Oryctolagus cuniculus: one gene and its partners. The protein of the gene in region 1 binds, or shares a complex with, the protein of each later gene. Links are inferred from orthologs where the notes say so. Each region holds a gene or a part of one and is shown in the gene's direction. Other genes may lie near its edges.

Evidence for each region.
Region 2: the proteins of GPAA1 (region 1) and PIGU are in contact, whole or in part, in a cryo-EM structure (PDB 8IMX), measured with the Homo sapiens proteins. The link is inferred for Oryctolagus cuniculus from reciprocal best matches to the Homo sapiens genes GPAA1 and PIGU. Residues at the interface, in NP_003792.1 of Homo sapiens: Gln245, Leu310, Arg311, Arg313, Phe358, Leu359, Ile371, Ala389, Leu390, Trp393, His397, Leu500, Ile504, Leu508, Cys512, Leu515, Thr516; in NP_536724.1 of Homo sapiens: Tyr349, Ile355, Phe356, Cys360, Ile363, Val364, Leu367, Leu368, Val371, Leu372, Leu375, Ile377, Tyr378, Ala379, Gly380, Ser381, Phe386.
Region 3: the proteins of GPAA1 (region 1) and PIGT are in contact, whole or in part, in a cryo-EM structure (PDB 7W72), measured with the Homo sapiens proteins. The link is inferred for Oryctolagus cuniculus from reciprocal best matches to the Homo sapiens genes GPAA1 and PIGT. Residues at the interface, in NP_003792.1 of Homo sapiens: Arg97, Ser98, Val99, Gly100, Glu102, Tyr104, Arg134, Ala135, Pro136, Arg137, Ala138, Ala139, Ser140, Thr141, Glu142, Arg171, Gly172, Gln173, Ile174, Tyr199, His200, Asp201, Val202, Leu212, Gln213, Gly214, Arg215, Ala218, Arg311, Tyr312; in NP_057021.2 of Homo sapiens: Gln91, Gly92, Phe93, Arg95, Arg97, Tyr98, Ser108, Phe211, His212, Thr213, Ser214, Asp247, Phe249, Ile250, Arg340, Gln355, Tyr357, Val358, Ser359, Gly360, Tyr361, Gly362, Leu363, Leu371, Tyr373, Lys441, Asp459, Pro460, Asn461, His462.
Region 4: GPAA1 (region 1) and PIGS share a complex: the UniProt entries of both Homo sapiens proteins name them as parts of the GPI-anchor transamidase complex. The link is inferred for Oryctolagus cuniculus from reciprocal best matches to the Homo sapiens genes GPAA1 and PIGS.

Annotation. Positions count from the first base shown.
Region 1 is NC_091437.1:167,910,295-167,915,527, forward strand, and holds the start of GPAA1 (glycosylphosphatidylinositol anchor attachment 1 protein), read left to right. Parts: upstream 1-1,683; 5' UTR 1,684-2,089; coding exon 2,090-2,370; intron 2,371-2,449; coding exon 2,450-2,629; intron 2,630-2,706; coding exon 2,707-2,818; intron 2,819-3,003; coding exon 3,004-3,151; intron 3,152-3,238; coding exon 3,239-3,340; intron 3,341-3,412; coding exon 3,413-3,609; intron 3,610-3,682; coding exon 3,683-3,879; intron 3,880-3,960; coding exon 3,961-4,114; intron 4,115-4,255; coding exon 4,256-4,351; intron 4,352-4,503; coding exon 4,504-4,694; intron 4,695-4,773; coding exon 4,774-4,944; intron 4,945-5,032; coding exon 5,033-5,233. Other genes in the region: EXOSC4 (exosome complex component RRP41), read left to right, coding at 246-416, 813-1,019, 1,103-1,462. UniProt on the Homo sapiens protein: Component of the glycosylphosphatidylinositol-anchor (GPI-anchor) transamidase (GPI-T) complex that catalyzes the formation of the linkage between a proprotein and a GPI-anchor and participates in GPI anchored protein biosynthesis. Binds GPI-anchor.
Region 2 is NC_091442.1:23,521,651-23,526,163, forward strand, and holds the end of PIGU (phosphatidylinositol glycan anchor biosynthesis class U protein), read left to right. Parts: intron 1-2,226; coding exon 2,227-2,561; 3' UTR 2,562-3,585; downstream 3,586-4,513. UniProt on the Homo sapiens protein: Component of the glycosylphosphatidylinositol-anchor (GPI-anchor) transamidase (GPI-T) complex that catalyzes the formation of the linkage between a proprotein and a GPI-anchor and participates in GPI anchored protein biosynthesis.
Region 3 is NC_091442.1:13,842,406-13,847,606, reverse strand, and holds the start of PIGT (GPI transamidase component PIG-T), read left to right. Parts: upstream 1-1,788; 5' UTR 1,789-1,825; coding exon 1,826-2,012; intron 2,013-2,143; coding exon 2,144-2,321; intron 2,322-4,265; coding exon 4,266-4,393; intron 4,394-4,649; coding exon 4,650-4,750; intron 4,751-4,988; coding exon 4,989-5,075; intron 5,076-5,201. UniProt on the Homo sapiens protein: Component of the glycosylphosphatidylinositol-anchor (GPI-anchor) transamidase (GPI-T) complex that catalyzes the formation of the linkage between a proprotein and a GPI-anchor and participates in GPI anchored protein biosynthesis.
Region 4 is NC_091448.1:44,067,616-44,071,007, reverse strand, and holds part of PIGS (GPI transamidase component PIG-S), read left to right. Parts: intron 1-1,121; coding exon 1,122-1,267; intron 1,268-2,124; coding exon 2,125-2,225; intron 2,226-3,347; coding exon 3,348-3,392. UniProt on the Homo sapiens protein: Component of the glycosylphosphatidylinositol-anchor (GPI-anchor) transamidase (GPI-T) complex that catalyzes the formation of the linkage between a proprotein and a GPI-anchor and participates in GPI anchored protein biosynthesis.

The DNA of each region.
Region 1 (5,233 bases):
TACGAGGTCGCGCCCAGCTTTTAAACTCAACAAAAGTTAGAACGGCAAGGAACCGAGAGAACGGAGCCCCGCCAGCTCCGGCGGCCGCGGCAGGCCGCCCGGGACCGCGGCGCCGGAAGTGACGCCACACCGCGCGGAGCCGCGGGCCTCAGGGACCGGAAGTGCGGCCTGGCCGCCGGAAGTGCCGGGGCTGATGGGAGGTGTAGTTCTCCGGCCGGCCGAGCGCGGAGCGGGCGGCCGCGAGCATGGCGGGCCTGGAGCTCTTGTCGGACCAGGGCTACCGGGTGGACGGACGGCGCGCCGGGGAGCTGCGCAAGATCCAGGCGCGGATGGGGGTGTTCGCGCAGGCCGACGGCTCGGCCTACATCGAGCAGGGCAACACCAAGGCGCTGGCGGTGGTGTACGGGCCGCACGAGGCGAGTGAGCGGGCGGCGGCGGCGGCGCGCCCTCGGAGCGAACGCCCACCGGCCGCCGTGCGGCGCTTCGCGTGCCGGGCGCTCTCGCTCCCTTACCTCGACGGCCCGGCCCGCGGCAGTCCACACGCGCTGCCTGTCGGCGCGAGCAGTGGGCGGACTGGGGTGGGGAGAGCCGGGCACCCGTCCGCCGTGAGGCTTTCCCAGGGTTTGGGGTTTCACTCCCCGCGCAGTGGGGAGGCGGGGGTTGAGGTGCAGCTCCCACAGAACCCGCGTAGCCCCGGGGAGTGGGTTAGGGACGCGCGCCCGAGGCGACTGGCGGCGCTGGGCGAGCAGCCGCTGCGGACTAGGGCGGGGGCCGGGGGCCTGGGCCTGGCTCACGAGGCGCCCCTCTTCCAGATCCGGGGCTCCCGCTCGCGCGCGCTGCCCGACCGGGCCCTGGTGAACTGCCAGTACAGCTCGGCGACGTTCAGCACAGCCGAGCGCAAGCGCCGGCCGCACGGGGACCGCAAGTCCTGTGAGCTGGGCCTGCAGCTGCGCCAGACCTTCGAGGCGGCCATCCTCACCCAGCTGCACCCACGCTCCCAGATCGACATCTACGTGCAGGTGAGCTGGCCGCAGCCCCGCACGCGGAGGGAGGGGCTGCGGGGCGTGGGGCGGCCGCCTGACGCCCCTCGGGGGCCCTGCAGGTGCTGCAGGCGGACGGGGGCACCTACGCGGCCTGTGTGAACGCGGCCACGCTGGCAGTGCTGGACGCCGGGATACCCATGCGGGACTTCGTGTGCGCCTGCTCGGCCGGCTTTGTGGACGGCACAGCGCTGACGGACCTCAGCCACGTGGAGGAGGCGTCGGGCAGCCCCCAGCTGGCTCTGGCCCTGCTGCCGGCCTCCGGCCAGATCGCGCTGCTGGAGATGGACGCTCGCCTGCACGAAGACCACCTGGAGCAGGTGCTGGAGGCGGCTGCGCAGGCTGCGCGCGGCGTGCACACCCTGCTGGACCGCGTCGTGCGGCAGCACGTGCGCGAGGCCTCCATCCTGCTGGGGGACTGAACAGCGGCCGCCGGGCCCGTGCGGACCTCTCCCACGCGTGACCTGCTCCGGAGTCGCACCTGGAGGGCCGGTGCGGTGCGCGCAGGCGGCGGGAGGCGGCTGTGGGCGCTGTGGGCTGCACTGAGCAGCCCCTTCCCCCAGGAGACCCTGGGCCGTTCTGTCCCTTACCTTGAGCTCTAAAAGTACCACAACCTCGTGCACTTGCCTGCATTATTCTCCCCTGCTCGGCCCCTGCCTCCCCGCCCACCACTGCGCCCCCGTCACCCGCCCGAGCCCTGCAGCAGGGAACCAGGAGCTGCGTCTCCCGGACCACCTCGGGGACCCCCTGGCCTGGACAGGGGCAGCGCGCTCCCTACCGGCGACCTCGGTGCAGGGCACCCACGGCGAGGATTCCCCGTCCCGGCCTCCCTCTCCAAGCCCTTCATCCCCGTCGGCTGCTCGCTGCCGCCCTGCGCTTCACCTCCGTCTCCTGCCAGCCGTCCAGCTGATGCTTCCTCGCCGCCCCTGACCGGTCTGGCCCGTTCGTGCACGGTCTGGCCGAACTGGAAGCTGCCTCCCTTGCCTGGGCCCACCCCCAGTCAGCTGAGCCCGAGCCCCGCGGCCTTCCGGCGAGTCGCCGCTCAGAGCATGCGCAGTGGGCCTCCTGCGACCCTTCTGGCCTGGGCATGCGCAGGGGCCTCCCCGCCTTCTGGTCTGGGCATGCGCGGCGGCGCGAGGCCCTCTGGGACCGGAAGTGCGAGCGAGCGCGAAGCCCCGGGTCTGACAGGAGCCGCGCGCCGCGTCGGTGCCCGTACTGGTGGCGGGAGAGGGGTCGTGGGCCCGCGCCGCCCAGCCATGGGCCTCCTGTCGGACCCGGTCCGCCGGCGCGCGCTCGCCCGCCTCGTGCTGCGCCTGAACGCGCCGCTGTGGTAAGCGCGGGGCCGCGGGGCGGGGGCCCGGGCCGCGCGGCCCCGCGGACGCTGAGGCGGCCCCTCTGCCCCGTCGCAGCGTGCTGAGCTACGTGGCCGGCATCGCCTGGTTCCTGGCGCTGGCTTTCCCGCCGCTGACCCAGCGCACGTACATGTCCGAGAACGCCATGGGCTCCACCATGGTGGAGGAGCAGTTCGCGGGGGGGGACCGCGCCCGGAACTTCGCGCGCGACTTCGCCGCCCACCGCAGGAAGTCGGGGTGAGCGGCGGAGCGGGGGTCTGGGAGGGCCGAGGCCGAGGCCGGGCGCCGTGCTCACAGAGGCTCTGTGTCTCCAGGGCCCTGCCGGTGGCCTGGCTGGAGCGGACCATGCGGTCAGTAGGGCTGGAGGTCTACACGCAGAGTTTCTCCCGGAAACTGCCTTTCCCAGATGAGACTCACGAGCGCTATGTATTGGGGGAGGGGGTGTGGCTGGGGCCGAAAAGCATCTTGGGGTGGCATAGGGCGGGAGTCGCGTTGGGGGGTCCCGAGGCCAGGGGAGCCCCTGGGGAGCACGGCGTGGCCGGGCAGAGGGAGGGGCCCTGCACTGTACCGGGGTTCCCGGGCTGACGCTCCCCACCTGCCACTGTGTGCAGCTGGTGTCCGGTACCAACGTGTATGGCATCCTGCGAGGGCCCCGAGCCGCCAGCACCGAGTCCCTGGTGCTCACCGTGCCCTGTAGCTCCGACTCCACCAACAGCCAGGCTGTGGGGCTGCTGCTGGCACTTGCTGCCCACTTCCGTGGTGAGACTGGCTGTGGGGGTCGCTGCTGGCCTGGGACGGCTTGGTCGGTGCCCCAGCCCTGCTGCTGACCCTGCCTCTCACGTGCAGGGCAGATTTACTGGGCAAAAGATATCATCTTCCTGGTGACCGACCATGACCTTCTGGGCACGGAGGCCTGGCTCGAAGCCTACCACGACGTCAATGTCACTGGTAGGTGCCCTGCCCTGCCCTGGTCGCTGCCTCCACCAGCCCCTCGCTGGCGATCGCTCACTGTCCCTGCAGGCATCCAGTCGTCGCCCCTGCAGGGCCGGGCGGGGGCCATCCAGGCGGCCGTGGCCCTGGAGCTGAGCAGCGACGTCATCACGAGCCTCGACGTGACCGTGGAGGGACTCAACGGGCAGCTGCCGAACCTTGACCTGCTCAACCTCTTCCAGACCTTCTGCCAGAAAGGGGGGCTGCTGTGCACGCTGCAGGGCAAGGTGAGGCCCCGCCTGGGGCGCACAAGGCCTGCTGGGAGGAGGGCGCGCTGATCCTGCACCTGTTCCCCCGAAGCTGCAGCCCCAGGACTGGACATCGCTGGATGGGCCACTGCAGAGCCTGCAGACGCTGCTGCTCATGGTCCTGCGGCAGGCCTCCGGCCGCCCCCACGGCCCCCACGGCCTCTTCCTGCGCTACCGCGTGGAGGCCCTCACGCTGCGGGGCATCAACAGCTTTCGCCAGTACAAGTACGACCTGGTAGCGGTGGGCAAGTAAGTAGCTCTGGGCCCCTCTTCCCACGCCAGGGGGTGGCCCGGGGCCGGCCAGCTGTGACCCTGCCTCCCGTGCGGCAGGGCTCTGGAGGGCATGTTCCGAAAGCTCAACCACCTCCTGGAGCGGCTGCACCAGTCCTTCTTCTTCTACCTGCTGCCGGCGCTCTCGCGCTTCGTCTCCATCGGCCTCTACATGCCGGCCGCCGGCTTCCTGCTCCTGGTCCTCGGGCTCAAGATATCCTCCCCCGCCCCACTCGGGCTCTCCGCTTGGAGCCCCTCAGCCCCGGGGAGAATCCCTCATCCTGCTGGGGGGTGGTGGGGGGTGGTGCTGGGTCCTCCCGCAGACCGCGTCCTGGCAGAGTCCTTGACTGGCCACGCCCTGGAGCTGTGGATGCGGTTGCACGAGGCCGGAGCGGGCCCCGACGAGGCTCGGGGCGTGCCTGGGCCCAGCCTTGCCGCTCCCCCAGTGCAGGTGATGGCGCCCCCTCCTCTTCCGGGGAGGGCTTCTAGCGTCCTGCGCGGAGCCTGCCGCTGCCCCGCACCCCTATGTAGAAGGCTGGTGATGAGGGGTCTTGGGGCTCCCTGGTCCCAGGGCCCATCTCCAGAAGCCCGTGTGCCCTGCAGGGTGTGGGGCTGACCTCGCTCGTGGCACCTCTGCTGATCTCCCAGGCCATGGGGCTGGCCCTCTACGTCCTGCCGGTGCTGGGCCAGCACGTGGCTGCCCAGCACTTCCCAGTGGCCGAGGCCGAGGCTGTGGTGCTGACGCTGCTGGCGATTTACGCCGCTGGCCTGGCCCTTCCACACAACACTCACCGGTGAGGGCCGGGCGGTGGGGGCGGGGTCCCCTCGGCACGTAGCGCTGTGCCGGGCTGCCTCTGAGCCCGCACCTTGCAGGGTGGTGAGCACGCAGGCCCCAGACCGGGGCTGGATGGCGCTGAAGCTGGTGGCTCTGGTCTACCTGGCCCTGCAGCTGGGCTGCATCGCACTCACCAACTTCTCCCTGGGCTTCCTGCTGGCCGCCACCATGGTGCCTGCTGCCGCTCTCGCCGAGCCCCACGGGCCCCGGTATGTGCGCTGTGCCTTCTCCCAGAGCTTCCTGCCCTCACTGCCCCTGCCCCCGCCTCGGGACCCACCCTGTGGCTCCTTCACCTAGGCCGCTCTACGCCGCCCTGCTGGTGCTGACGAGCCCGGCAGCCACTCTGCTGGGCAGCCTGTTCCTGTGGCGGGAGCTGCAGGAGGTGCCGCTGTCGCTGGCTGAGGGCTGGCAGCTCTTCCTGGCGGCGCTGGCCCAGGGCGTGCTGGAGCACTACAGCTACGGCGCCCTGCTCTTCCCGCTGCTGGCGCTGGGCCTCTA
Region 2 (4,513 bases), on another chromosome or scaffold:
TGCCTGGAACAAGCTGTACTGTGCCCTGGGTCCCCAGCTCCATCTGCTCTGGCGTCTAGCCTTAATCTGCTGGCCTCTCAGCCAGCTAGAGAGAGTAGCAGCTCCCTGTTCCTGCAAAGGTCACCACAGGCCAGAAGCCAACTGGACGTTGCTGACGATTCCTCTGAGCACATGGGAATGTGTCTCTGCCGCCCAGAAGCTGCATGTGAGCCTCTCTCATCTCCGTACTCGTCTCCTCCCTTCACCCTGTCCCTGTGCCCATCTGAAATCTCCACGGAGCACAGAGCCGCCTCGACCATCAGGCCACCAGAGTTTTAGTTTAGGAATAGCACGTATGTTCAGCAAAACAGTTTCTAGAGGATCAGAAGGAACCACTGAGAAATGTAAATAACGATGATAGAGTGAAGGAGTAGCAAACAAATTGTTCTCCTTGTAACATTGTTTAGTACAAAAATAGGGGCTGGTGCTGTGGTGTAGCAGGTAAAGTCGCTTCCTGCAGTGCTGGCATCCGATATGGACACCGGTTTGAGTCCTGGCTGCTCTACTTCTGATCCAGCTCTCTGCTCTGGCCTGAGAAAGCAGTGGAAGTAGGGCCCCGGCACCTGCGTGGGAGACCTGGAAGAAGTTCCAGGCTTCTGGCTTGTTGCAGCTGTTACAGCCATCTGGAGAGTGGACCAGCAGATAGAAGACTTCTCTTTCTCTCTCTCTCTCCCTGCCTCTGCCTCTCTGTAACTCTGCCTTTCAAATAAATGAATCTTTAGAATAATAATAATAGCAATAATAGTAATAACAACAATACTTCTTGGTGCCGGTGCCGTGGCACAGTAGGTTAATCCTCTGCCTGCGGTGCCGGCATCCTATATGGGCACCAGTTCTAGTCGCAGCTGCCCGTCTTCCAATCCATCTCTCTGCTATGGCCTGGGAAAGCAGTAGAAGATGGCCCAAGTGCTTGGGCCCCTGCAGTAGCATGGGAGACCAGGAAGAAGCACCTGGATACTGGATTTGGATCAGCGCAGCTCTGGCCGTAACAGCCATCTGGGGAGTGAACCAACGGAAGGAAGACCTTTCTCTCTGTCTCTCCCTCTCACTTTAACTCCACCTCTCAAATAAAATCTTTAAAAAAAAAAAAAATACTTCTCATGGGGCCGGCATTGTGGCATAGTGGGTAAAGCTGCTGCCTGCCATGCTGGCATCCAACATGAGTACTGGTACATGAATACCCATCGGCTGCACTTCCAAGCCAGCTCCCAGCTAATGGCCTGGGAAAGCAGCAGAAGATGCCCAAGTGCTTGTTTCCCTGCCACCCATGTGGGAGACCCGGATAGAGTTCCAGCTGTGGCTCCAGCTTACCTCAGTCCCGGTTGTTGGGGCCATTTGGGGAGTGAACCTACGGGTAGAAGTGCTCCCCAAATGGCCCCAAACATTTTGCACCATTTTCTACAAACTTTTAATTAATTTATTAGATTTTTAATTACTTTATTTGAAAGTCAGTTACAGAGAGAGAGAGTGCTAGTAAATGACGAGCAGGACTTCTCACCACAGTCTCTCTGAGGCCAAGTCCGCGCCCTGCCAGCATGCTGCCTGCCCATCCAAACTCCACCTGCTGTCTGGGCTGCTCCTGGGCCTCAGGAAGCACTACCACCTCTGAGAACACAACAGTGGTGTCAGAGGGGAGAGTGTCAAAAAGATGTTCAAATCATCATCTAGGGAAGAGAGGGACATTTGAAGAACAAGACGGGGACCTGAAACACTCATTAAGGACGGGACTGTAGCACCATGGGACTCACTATGGGACTCACCTCCGTGATTCGTGCTGCACTTCCCACTCAGGAGCCAACATGGTCAGATCGCCCTGCTTGGGGAAAAGGGAAGAGTTGCTCTTGGACACTCTCAGATTTTGGGGAGGGAGGCAGTACCCTCCTGAAGTACCCTGTTTGCCGTGACCAGAGGCACTCGGGTTATTGCCAACCATAGCAGATCTTGGGCCAACCCAGCCCACAGTAAGAGGAAAGAATCCAAATCCAGGCGTTCCCACCAGCTGTGAGCATGGGGAGCCACTGACTCGGGGGTCTGAGATTTGTCTCCTGGCCCTGTGGTGCCTCTGGGGAGCTCTGCCTCTGAGGTGCACACAGCTTTCCTCGGGCCCCTTTTAACTGCAGGGCCATCTCAGCAAGGAAAGGATGCTCCAGAGAGCACTGGGCTAACTGTGACCGTCTGTCTTTGCAGTCCTGCGAAACATCTTTGTCCTCACCTGCATCATTGTCGTCTGCTCCCTGCTCTTCCCTGTCCTGTGGCACCTGTGGATCTATGCAGGAAGTGCCAACTCAAACTTCTTTTATGCCATCACACTGACCTTCAATGTTGGGCAGGTAAGAGCTGAGGGCTGCATGGGGTTAGGGATTCATTTTGCAGCCTTGGGTATCCACACCAGGCCCTTGTTCTGTGTCCTAGGGCTTTGCATGAAGAGGGACCGTCCTACCCTCCCACCCCCACCGTCTCTAATCCCTGCCAAGGATTATAGACCAGACCACGCTCAAGGTTACAGTCTACCGAGCTCATAGTCTGGTAGAGAGGAGAGGGAGTTAAGAACACAGAAGCTGAATCTGGCAAGCGTGTGCTGAGCACCATGCAGAGTCCCACCTCCCTCTTTTATAAATGGAGACAGAGGCTGTCTTGCCCCAGGTCATTGAAGGAGCCAGGAGCCGAAATCAATTACGGTTTGATTTCTGAGGCTCTGTCTGTGATGGTGCCTGGGGTGCATAGTAGCCTTGGAGAGTACGTGGAGTGAGACAGCAGAGCAGGGCCAGGAGGAACAGAAGCTTCCAGACCCGAGATATTAGGCGCAAAGCAGGAAGCCGAGAAGTGCTCTGGTCTGTTAGGAGGGTCGAGTATCAGTGGTGGGCTGGGAGTAGTGGAGAGGAGGCCGTGAGGGTCACAGACCAAGGAGTGGCCAGCACAGAGTGTGGCCCTTCCTCTGACCTGGGAAACCTGAGCCTCCGATCCACAGGGGAGCTTGTTAAACACACGGAGTCCTTGTTATTTGTTTAGAACCCTTTACACTCACAGTTGTGATTGTTACAACTGCATGGCTCTGATTGTTTTTTTAAAAATGAAGATTCTCTGATCCCACTGCCAGAATGTCAATTCAGTTTGGAAAATGAGGTCAGGAATTTGTGTTTTAGCAAGTTTTCTCCGAGGTTCTGGGCAGAGGATCTAGTAAACCCCCCGTGGCATCATCCACCCTCCTCTGCAGTTCTCTCATTCACTGTGCTGCCCTCTTCCAGGTCAGGCTCCGTCCTGTCTTCGAGGCCTTGGGAAAATCAGTTGTACCATGTGCCGTTTCCCGGGCCGTGGGCACAGCCAGGCCCCTCCCAGTGTGATGCACAGGATGGGGAGCGGCTCACTGGAAAGGCCAGGAGGCAGTGACTGTCCCCGAGGAACTCCTTGCCTCCAAAGTCAGCTGCTGGGAATGTAGAAGCGAGTTCAGGCTTTGTCAGAGAGTGGTGGGGCTGGTGTTCCCTGCGTGGACGTTTCTGGAGGATTAATGTCCAGTCCAACCATTCGTCTTGGTGTGTGAACAATAAAGAGAGACGTGGATGTTGGGAGCCACTGTCGCCTGGGTGGCAGTTACTGACGGTGCGTGTGCAGTGTCCTACCTGCGTCCATGCAGGCAGTCATCTTCAGGATTCACTTCATGGGCCGGCGCCGCGGCTCACTAGGCTAATCCTCCGCCTTGCGGCGCCGGCACACCGGGTTCTAGTCCCTGTCAGGGTGCCAGATTCTGTCCCGGTTGCCCCTCTTCCAGGCCAGCTCTCTGCTGTGGCCCGGGAGTGCAGTGGAGGATGGCCCAAGTGCCTGGGCCCTGCACCCCATGGGAGACGAGGAGAAGTACCTGGTTCCTGCCATCGGATCAGCGCAGTGCGCCGGCCGCAGCGCACTAGCCGCGGCGGCCAGTGGAGGGTGAACCAACGGCAAAGGAAGACCTTTCTCTCTGTCTCTCTCACTGTCCACTCTGCCTGTCAAAAAAAAAAAAAAGAAAAAGAAAAAAAACAACTTTATATCTGAAGGAATTTAAATGTTTATCCTGGCTCTACTGTCTTGCTGGAATCGCCTTACTTTTCCTTATGTCACAGGGATAACTGGCATGTGAGGGACCTGGGCCAACTCTTGGCAAGTTCCCTGAAATAGTCTGTGGCCTGTTGTCTTGAGTCTCAAGTTTGAGTCATGAAATAAAATTACAGTGACTCTGAAGTATCCACGCAACTTGGTGGATAAGAGCCTCCTCCCCTGTGGCTACCTCTCTGAGGGAGGGGTCTCATAAATGGAATTTTGGAAAAAGAGGGATTGGCATTGGGCGTGGAAACCAAAGGCAGGTGTATCAAGTGTGTTAGCTGAGTTACACAGAAAAACCAGATGAACTCTTAGCATTTTCTTGTCTCTTCTTAAAAATGTCTTTGTGGGAGCCACAACCACTTATGATGGTGTTTCCCATATTGGAGCACTGGTTCAAGTC
Region 3 (5,201 bases), on another chromosome or scaffold:
ATAAAATTAAATACACCGGCCAGCGCCGCGGCTCACTAGACTAATCCTCCGCCTTGCGGCGCCAGCACACTGGGTTCTAGTCCCGGTCGGGGCGCCGGATTCTGTCCCGGTTGCCCCTCTTCCAGGCCAGCCCTCTGCTGTGGCCAGGGAGTGCAGTGGAGGATGGCCCAGGTGCTTGGGCCCTGCACCCCATGGGAGACCAGGAAAAGCACCTGGCTCCTGGCTCCTGTCATCGGATCAGCGCGGTGCGCCGGCCGCAGCGCGTCGGCCGCGGCGGCCAATGGAGGGTGAACCAACAGCAAAGGAAGATCTTTCTATCTCTCTCTCTCTCTCTCACTGTCCACTCTGCCTGTCAAAAAAAAAAAAAAAAAAAAATTAAATACACCACCTCTTTAATCCAGCAATTCCACATGCCTATAGGATATGATAAATTTGTGTCGACACTCTTAACTTGTACAGACAACACTATCATTCTTAATAAGAAAACTTCAAAGAGTTCATATGTGCATCGGCAGAATACATAAAAACAAAAAACTGCGATTACATCCAAGAACAGGAATGATTCTCCAAAACCGTCTTCCCACGAAAGAAGCCTCACACAAAAATCATGCATGTGATAATTTCATTTATAGATTTAGTTCTAGAACATTAGAGGAAAAAGATAGAACAGTGGTCATCTCTGGAAAGTGGAGGGGAGGCAGGGCTAAATAGGAAGAGACATTAGCCAACTTTTTTAGGATTTCAGGAATGTTACATGGGTATATGCATTTGTCAAAATTCAATGTGCACATCAGGTTCACTCATTTCACTGTATTTGAGTTTCACATCAGAAAAAAATGTAAACATGGAACCCCAGTTAATGAAATGCCTGCATGAATTATTTTAAGATTTTATTTATTTGAGAGGTAGAGTTACATACAGTGAGAGGCAGAGACAGAGAGAGAGGTCTTCCTTCCACTGGTTCACTCCCCAAATTGCTGCAGCCAGGAGCCAAGACTTCTTCCAGGTCTCCCATGTGGGTGCAGGGGCCCAAGCACCTGGGCCATCCTCCACTGCTTTCCCAGGCCACAGCAGAGAGATGGATCGGAAGAGGAGCAGCTGGGACTCGAACCGGCGCCCATAGGGGATGCTAGTGCTGCAGGGGGAGGATTAGCCCACTGCGCCACAGCGCTGGCCCCATGCTGAATTATTCAGAGGAAGTTGAATTATGTCTACAGCTTACATTGAGATGCAGCAAACTGTAAGATGGATTTACGGATGCATGGGCAGATCTGCGATAAAACACGAGTATGGTAAAATGTTTGTTAGTGGTAGAATCTAGGTGATGGCCAAAAATATGCTCACTGTATCAGGTGCTCATTCTTTCAAGTCTGAAAAGTTGCATGGCAAAAGAGCCAATGGGGAGCTGGCTCGGGTTAGGACCGGGTACCTGCAGACACTGGAAGCCGAGGAAGGCATGAGCCCCGCTCCGTGCCCTCGCAAAAATGACCTTTTTCGGTTACTTTCCTCAAATATAAAGTGGACACGAGGGTAGTGGCATCGCTCCCTATTAGCATGCACCTCCTGGCGGGTGCAAGTATCTGGAAGGCAGTGGCTTCTCAAGCCAGCTCCCTGCCTCGCCACTACCCGCTTTGGTGTTACCTCAGCGCCCCCTTAAACCCACTAAGACCAGATGGGAATCAGGCGGCCTGACGAGCGAGCAGCTCTGGTAATCGCATTCGGGTTTCCGGGACGACACCGGAAGTCACTTCTCACGCGCCCTTCCTATTGGATGCCGGCCTTTCGTGGGGGCGGGAGCTGCTGGGAGGCGGAAGCAGCCGCTGGCATGGCGGCGGCCATGCCGCTCGCTTTGCTGGTGCTGCTGCTCCTGGGGCCAGGCGGCTGGAGCCAGGCAGAGCCCCCACGCGACACCCTGCGGGAGGAGCTCGTTATCACCCCGCTGCCTTCCGGGGACGTGGCCGCCACCTTCCAGTTCCGCACGCGCTGGGATTCGGAGCTGCAGAGGGAACGAGGTGTGCAGGAGATATCTGGCCGCAGAAAGAGATCTCTGTGGCACCTGCTTGGGGGGTGGGAGGTGACGGCGAGCCTTGGGGGCGGGTCCCGACGCGGAGGGGTCGTCGCTCATCTGCTCCCTCTTCCCCAGCGTCTCATTACAGGCTCTTCCCCAAAGCCCTGGGGCAGCTGATCGCCAAGTATTCTCTCCGCGAGCTGCACCTGTCGTTCACGCAGGGCTTTTGGAGGACCCGATACTGGGGGTCCCCCTTCCTGCAGGCCCCATCGGGCGCAGAGCTCTGGGTCTGGTTCCAGGACACTGTCACTGAGTGAGTGGCCACCTCGGGTCCTGTTGCAGGTCACGGAGGGGGTGGGCAGCAGTTCCGGTCCGCGCGACTCCGTGGGATTAGAGCCTTGCTGGGAATAAGAAATGGTATCACCAGGGAGTGGCATCCTCTGGTTTCCTGCCCCTGATGCTTCTAGATGATGAGGTACCAGCAGATGTGAAACCACTGACGTGTGTTTGGATATTAAAGCAGCAGGAAACAGGCAAACTGGACAACTTTCTAAAAGGCAGTCATGCATTTTATTTTTAATATTTAAAATGTAAAGAGACATAGAAATCCCCATCTCCTGGTTTGCTCTCAAATACGCACAACAGCCGGGGCTGAACCTGGCTGAAGCCAGTAGCTTGTAGCTCAGTCTCGGTCTTCCAGGTGAGCGACAGGGACCCAGGTACCTAAGCCGTCACCTGGTGTCTCCCAGCGTGTGCATTAGCAGGAAGCCGGAGGCGGCAGCAGAGCCTGGACTTGAAACCAGCACTCTGATGTGGGATGTGGGCATTCCCAGTGGTGCTTTAACCACTGCACTTTGTGCCCAACCCCATACTTGTAAAGGTAATGTGTTGGCCCGCAGGATGCTAGGCTTCTGTGTTTGAGGGATTATTTTGGTTGGGAGAGGGCAGGGCTGGTTACCGCTCTTGGACGCAATGACTGCTCTGCTGTCTGGAGAAGAACTGTTCTGTGCAGAAGTTGCCAGTGTGGGCCTCATGGGTAAGGGGTAAACACACTGTTAGAGGCCCAGGGATGGGAACTGCATCTGACTTCCTCCTAGTCCTGCCACAGGAAATCAGTAGGGCAGGTGTCGTCAATTTTGGGGCAATAAGTGGTAGGGCCTGGAGGCTGGAGACGCCAGCTGCTGGTGGGACCAGGACTCCAGCGTGCTCAGGCTCTCGGTTTTCGGGAGACCAAGAACCTGGAATGTACTGTGGACATGGGAAAACTTTAAAATGCTGTGTTGGTCAATGTTAGGCATTCCAGTGGAAGTGTAATTATGACTTGGGTGGAACTTTGGGGCTTCAGTCCCCAGTCCTTCAGATGGGAGTGATTGAAAAGCTGTGAATGGTGGATTATCAGAAACCACAGCCGGCACTGAGGCGTTGTCAGAGGAGGAGCAGCCGGTGACCCTCACCTTCCGAGGAGGCTGTCTCTCTGAGCTCTGGCACTCTTCAATTTTCCTTTTTCTATCTGCTCTGCTGTCCCTGTCTCTCCTTTGCCCCTTATTGCCTATAATGTTTCGAATTCTAGTACTTATTCAATTTATTACTTGTATTACTAATTAGGGAGCAAATCCCTTTTGATATTCCTCTAAGAACACAATTAATTTGGTGTTTTTGCGGGGTCCTAGAATGGGGGCCTTCTCCTTGTTCAGTGAGGTTTTTGATAGCAGACCGCCCCCCATGGCCTGACCCCGAGGCGTAGGACCAGGGCTTGCCTCCCTGCCCAGGGTATTCACAGGGGAAGTGGGCTGCTTTGTCCAGCTGGGCACGCACAGGAGGCTCAGGGAACTGAGCTCAGCTCTGAGCCGTGGGCGCCATCCTGGTGGTGTGGGGGAAGAGAGATGACCTCAAGGTGCTCCCAGCCCATTTGGGAATTGGGGATGCTCAGGACAGGATCCCGGTGCCATCTCCCAGGAGGGGGCCGTGCTGGAGGAGGGGCTGGGACTGGAGCTGCACCTTGGAGTGGGCAGAGAAGAGTGAGCGGGGCAGGGAGAGTCTTAGCAAAGACCTGGGGGGTGCAGGGATGTCCAGAGGAGCGTGAGGAGGAGGTGATAGGTAGGGGAGACCAGGACGTGGACTGAGTGATGTCCCGCTCCATGTGGCCTCGTGGGTGAGCGTGCAGCCTCCTGCTACCGTGCGCTTGGCAGCCAGCTGCAGGCTGGTGGGGGACGGGGGGGGCAGCCCGGGCCAGTGAGTGGGTTTGTGTTTCCTGCAGTGTGGACAGGTCGTGGAAGGAGCTCAGTAACGTCCTCTCGGGCATCTTCTGCGCCTCTCTCAACTTCATCGACTCCACCAACACGGTCACTCCCACGGCCTCCTTCAAGCCCCTGGGGCTGGCCAACGGTGAGACAGCCCCGCGCCCTCGCCCTCTGCACCGCCTGCCCACACCGTGGCCTCTGGGCCCCTCGTCTCCTCCCTCCCCGGCTTGGGCTCCATCCTCAAGCCCCGGGTTTGCAGGCCCCAGCAGAAGTTTTCCAGAGCCTGTGCTGTCCCCGCATTGCCTCCTTCTCGGGGGACGGAGGCCGAGTCCCAGCCGCGACTGTCGGGTGGGCGGGGAGCACGTGGGGCCGCTGTCACCTGTGGACTGTGTTTCCCGCAGACACTGACCACTACTTCCTGCGCTATGCCGTGCTGCCGCGGGAGGTTGTCTGCACCGAGAACCTCACCCCATGGAAGAAGCTGCTGCCCTGTAGCTCCAAGGTGAGGCCAAGTGTGGGCAGGGCTGGGGCACCAGCGCGGGGAGGGAATCGGCAGACGCCCCCCGGCAGGCTGGCAGCCAGGGGCATCGCAAGTGTGGGCAGGGCTGGGGCACCAGCGCGGGGAGGGAATCGGCAGACGCCCCCTGGCAGGCTGGCAGCCAGGGGCATCGGAGCGAACCTGCTCCAAGCCAGGCTCGCCCCGCAGGGTGCTGCCTCTCACCTCGTCTCACCTCCTCCAGGCAGGCCTCTCCGTGCTGCTGAAGGCGGACCGCTTGTTCCACACCAGCTACCACTCCCAGGCCGTGCACATCCGCCCCATTTGCAGAGTAGGTCGTGGGGGACGGGGCCGGGGCAGAGGTGCCCTCCGGGGGCTCTGGGGGAAAGCGCAGGTACGCACGTGGCCCATTTTCTGGCTCGGGCCGAGCAGGAAGTGGTAGATGGGGCGATGATTA
Region 4 (3,392 bases), on another chromosome or scaffold:
CCTAGTCTCCCACATGAGCCCTCCCCTGCTGCCTTCCAGGGTCTGCGTTAGCAGGAAGCTGGAATCAGAAGTGAAGCTGGGGCTTGAACTCAGGCACTTCAACACAGGATGTAGGTGTCCCAAGCAGCATCTCACAGCCTGCCCCAGCTTCTTTTTTATGATGCTGCTAATGTCCCCATCTTCACACCTATTGTATCCAAATAAAGGCCTTTAGTAAACATGATCCCCAGCACGTTGTACAAATAAATTGCTAGGCTGGCTCTCCCTCCCTGAAATACTCATCTAGGAGAGATCTGGGTATACACATGGGAGACAGCAGACGTCTATGGTGGAGGAACCTTGAAGCCATGATAATAGTTTTCATGTGTGAAGTGGAGCTTAGGAAGAGTAGGTGTGAGCAAGAACGGTAAATCCAAGCCAACCAAAGTTGAGTGTATCTCCAACTAGAATTGCAGGCACCAGAGGCAGGCTGGAGTAAACCTGGGGCTAAGCAGGGAGTGGCGCATGAGGCATTAGGGAAATGCCTCCCCCTCGGTTCATTCATTCAGCAGACACTGACAGTACCGGAGACAGAAGGGCAGTTAGGCAAAGGGAACTATGAGCTTAGATCTAGAAGAGAAGAGAACGTAGCCATGCAGGGAGCCCAGGAAGGTTTACCCTGACTGAAATGTGTGTGAGTGCGGCTGGCAGGGCAGCTGGGTGCCAGATCATAAAGGACTGGGCTAAGGAGTTTGAACTCTAATATGACATGAGCGACTAGCCACCGAAGGGTATTAAGCAGGGAACTGACATGACATCAGATAGATCCTAGTGCATAAAAGCTATAGTAATGTAGGTCCAGTGGGACAGTGGCCAAGACAGCTATCTTAAGACAGTCAAAGAAGTCCCTTTAGATGGGGGGACATTCCAGGGGATGTCTTGAGGCTAAGGACTATGCTCCACCTGTGTGGCATGTCTCAGGAGAACATTTGGAGGTCTGTGCCACAGAAATCCTGGACTGGAGGATATCCTGGTGGTCATCGGCGGGGAAAACTCGGTCCCAGAATGAGTGACCAGCAAGGTAGAGGCTGTTCTGGAGCTGAGATCTTGGTGTTCTAACTCTCCTTCTCTCTCTGCCACAGGATCCAGCGCTGCCTCCCTGTACCCTGTGCTCAACTTTCTGCTCTACGTGCCTGAGCTTGCCCACTCGCCCCTGTACATTCAGGACAAGGATGGGGCTCCAGTGGCCACCAACGCCTTCCACAGTCCCCGCTGGGGTGGCATTATGGTAAAAGTCACACTCTGAAGACCCCAGAGCCCAGGCTTCAGGGACAGACAGACAGACATGCCCTGAAACTGCTTCTTCTGTTTTTCTTCTGGGGTCCTCATGCCTTCGGCCTCCTCTGCCAGCCCTGCTGCTGCTTATTTCTGCCCTGTAACCATCTTGCACTTACCAAGGCCATCCTGTGACCAGCTTAGATATTGGCTCTATCTTTGGGGGTCTTGTAAGATTGGGAACCTTGTCCCCTTGTGAGACTGGGAGTTTCTCATGGGTGAGAACTGTAAAATGAGATTTAAAATTTTCTTTTACAGGACTTTCCTGGGGTCATTGAGATAATTTATTTTTCCTTTTATATTATGTATTCCCCAAAAATGTCAGCTGTTTCATTGGGTTTCTAGTTTGTTTGTTTTTAAAGATTTATTTATTTATTTGAAAGTCAGAGTTATACAGAGAGAGAAAGAGAGGCAGAGAGAGAAAGGCCTTCATTCCACTGGTTTACTCCCCAAGTGGCCACAATGGCCACAGCTGCGCTGATTCGAAATCAGGAGCCAGGAGCTTCCTCTGGGTCTTCATGCAGGTGCAGGAGCCCAAGGATTTGGGCCATCTTCTACTGCCTTCCCAGGCCATAGCAGAGAGCTGGATCAGAAGTAGAGCAGCCAAGACCCGAACCAGCGCCCAAATGGGATGCTGGCACTGCAGGTGGTGGCTTTACCCACTACGCCACAGTGCCGGTCCTGGGTTTCTGGTTCTAATGAGCAGGGAATATGTCTTCCTTTTCCTTCATGGCCTCTGAATTGCCTAGGGGAGAGCTGTGCACCTGTAGGGGTGTGGCAACCTCAGGCTCCTTCTCCTTCTGCTTTCAGGTATACAATGTTGACCCCAAAGCCTACAATGGCTCCAGGCTACCAGTGAGAGTCGAGGTGGACATGGTACGAGTGATGGAGGTGTTCCTGGCGCAGTTGCGGTGAGGTCCTGGCTATCTACTTGGGGTGTCCTCTGTCTCCCTGATGACCTGAAGTTGGCCAGCTGCCCCCTGAGATCGTCTGCTGGGCTGCCGAGAAGGGGGCTGCCGAGAGCAGAGAAATCTCACTTGGCAGGAATGTCTTGGCTGTGTCTAGAGCCCCAGGGAAACTGAGAAAGGTTTCCAAGGAGCTCTGTGTCCTCCTCTTGAGGAGGATTAGCAGGTGACAAAACCTGTTTTAAGAAAAATAAGTTCATGTACTTCAGATCCCTGGGGTATGATTAGGGGTGCTTAAGAAGATAGCTGGCAATTCTTACGCGAACTGATCCACTGAGAGTGGCAGTCTGAAGTCCTGTGTTCTGAAGTTGTGTCTGGGCTCACCAGGAGAGTGTTCCGAGTGATTAGTAATGTCTGTCGTGGGTACAGCTTACAGAAGCACAGCACATGTGCCATGTCAAAGGTGGGCTTGCATCATCTCTTAACACCAAGTCCCACTGGCCCCATTTGTCCAAAGAGAGTAGAAAGAGTGAGGGAATTCAACGGAGTTGGTGTTAGAAATACTTTTATTATAGAACCTTTGTCCTTTGTTTTTCTTTCTTTTTCTTCTTTTTTTTTTTTTCCAGATTTATTTTGTCTATTTGAAAGGCCACAGTGGCTAGGGCTGGGTCAGGCTGAAGCCATGAGCCCAAGCTCCATCTGGGTCTCCCACATGGGTATTGGGTCCAAGTACTTGGGCCATCTTCCATTGCCTTCTTAGGGGCATTAGCAGAGAGCTGGATCAGAAATGGAGCAGCTAGGACTTGAACTGGCATCCATATGGGATGCCAGCATCACAGGTGTTGGCTTTATCCACTGCACCATGGAACTTTTTTTTTCCCACAAGATTTTGGAAATCTAATAAAGAAACAGTGGAAATGCAACATTCTGGTTGAAGCAGGGACTGGGGGCTCTGGATTGCTTGGCGTTGCTGCTCACCTTCCGAGACCCTGAGACACTTGCCACAACCCCTGTGGCTCTGGATACGACTGAAAATCATTGGCTTAGAGCAGGTATTACAGGAATCCTAGTCACAGCCTCCCACCTTCTGGTCTCAGCCACTTTGATCTTCTCTCCCTGTTTCTCCAGACTGCTTTTTGGGATTGCTCAGCCCCAGGTGCCTCCAAAATGCCT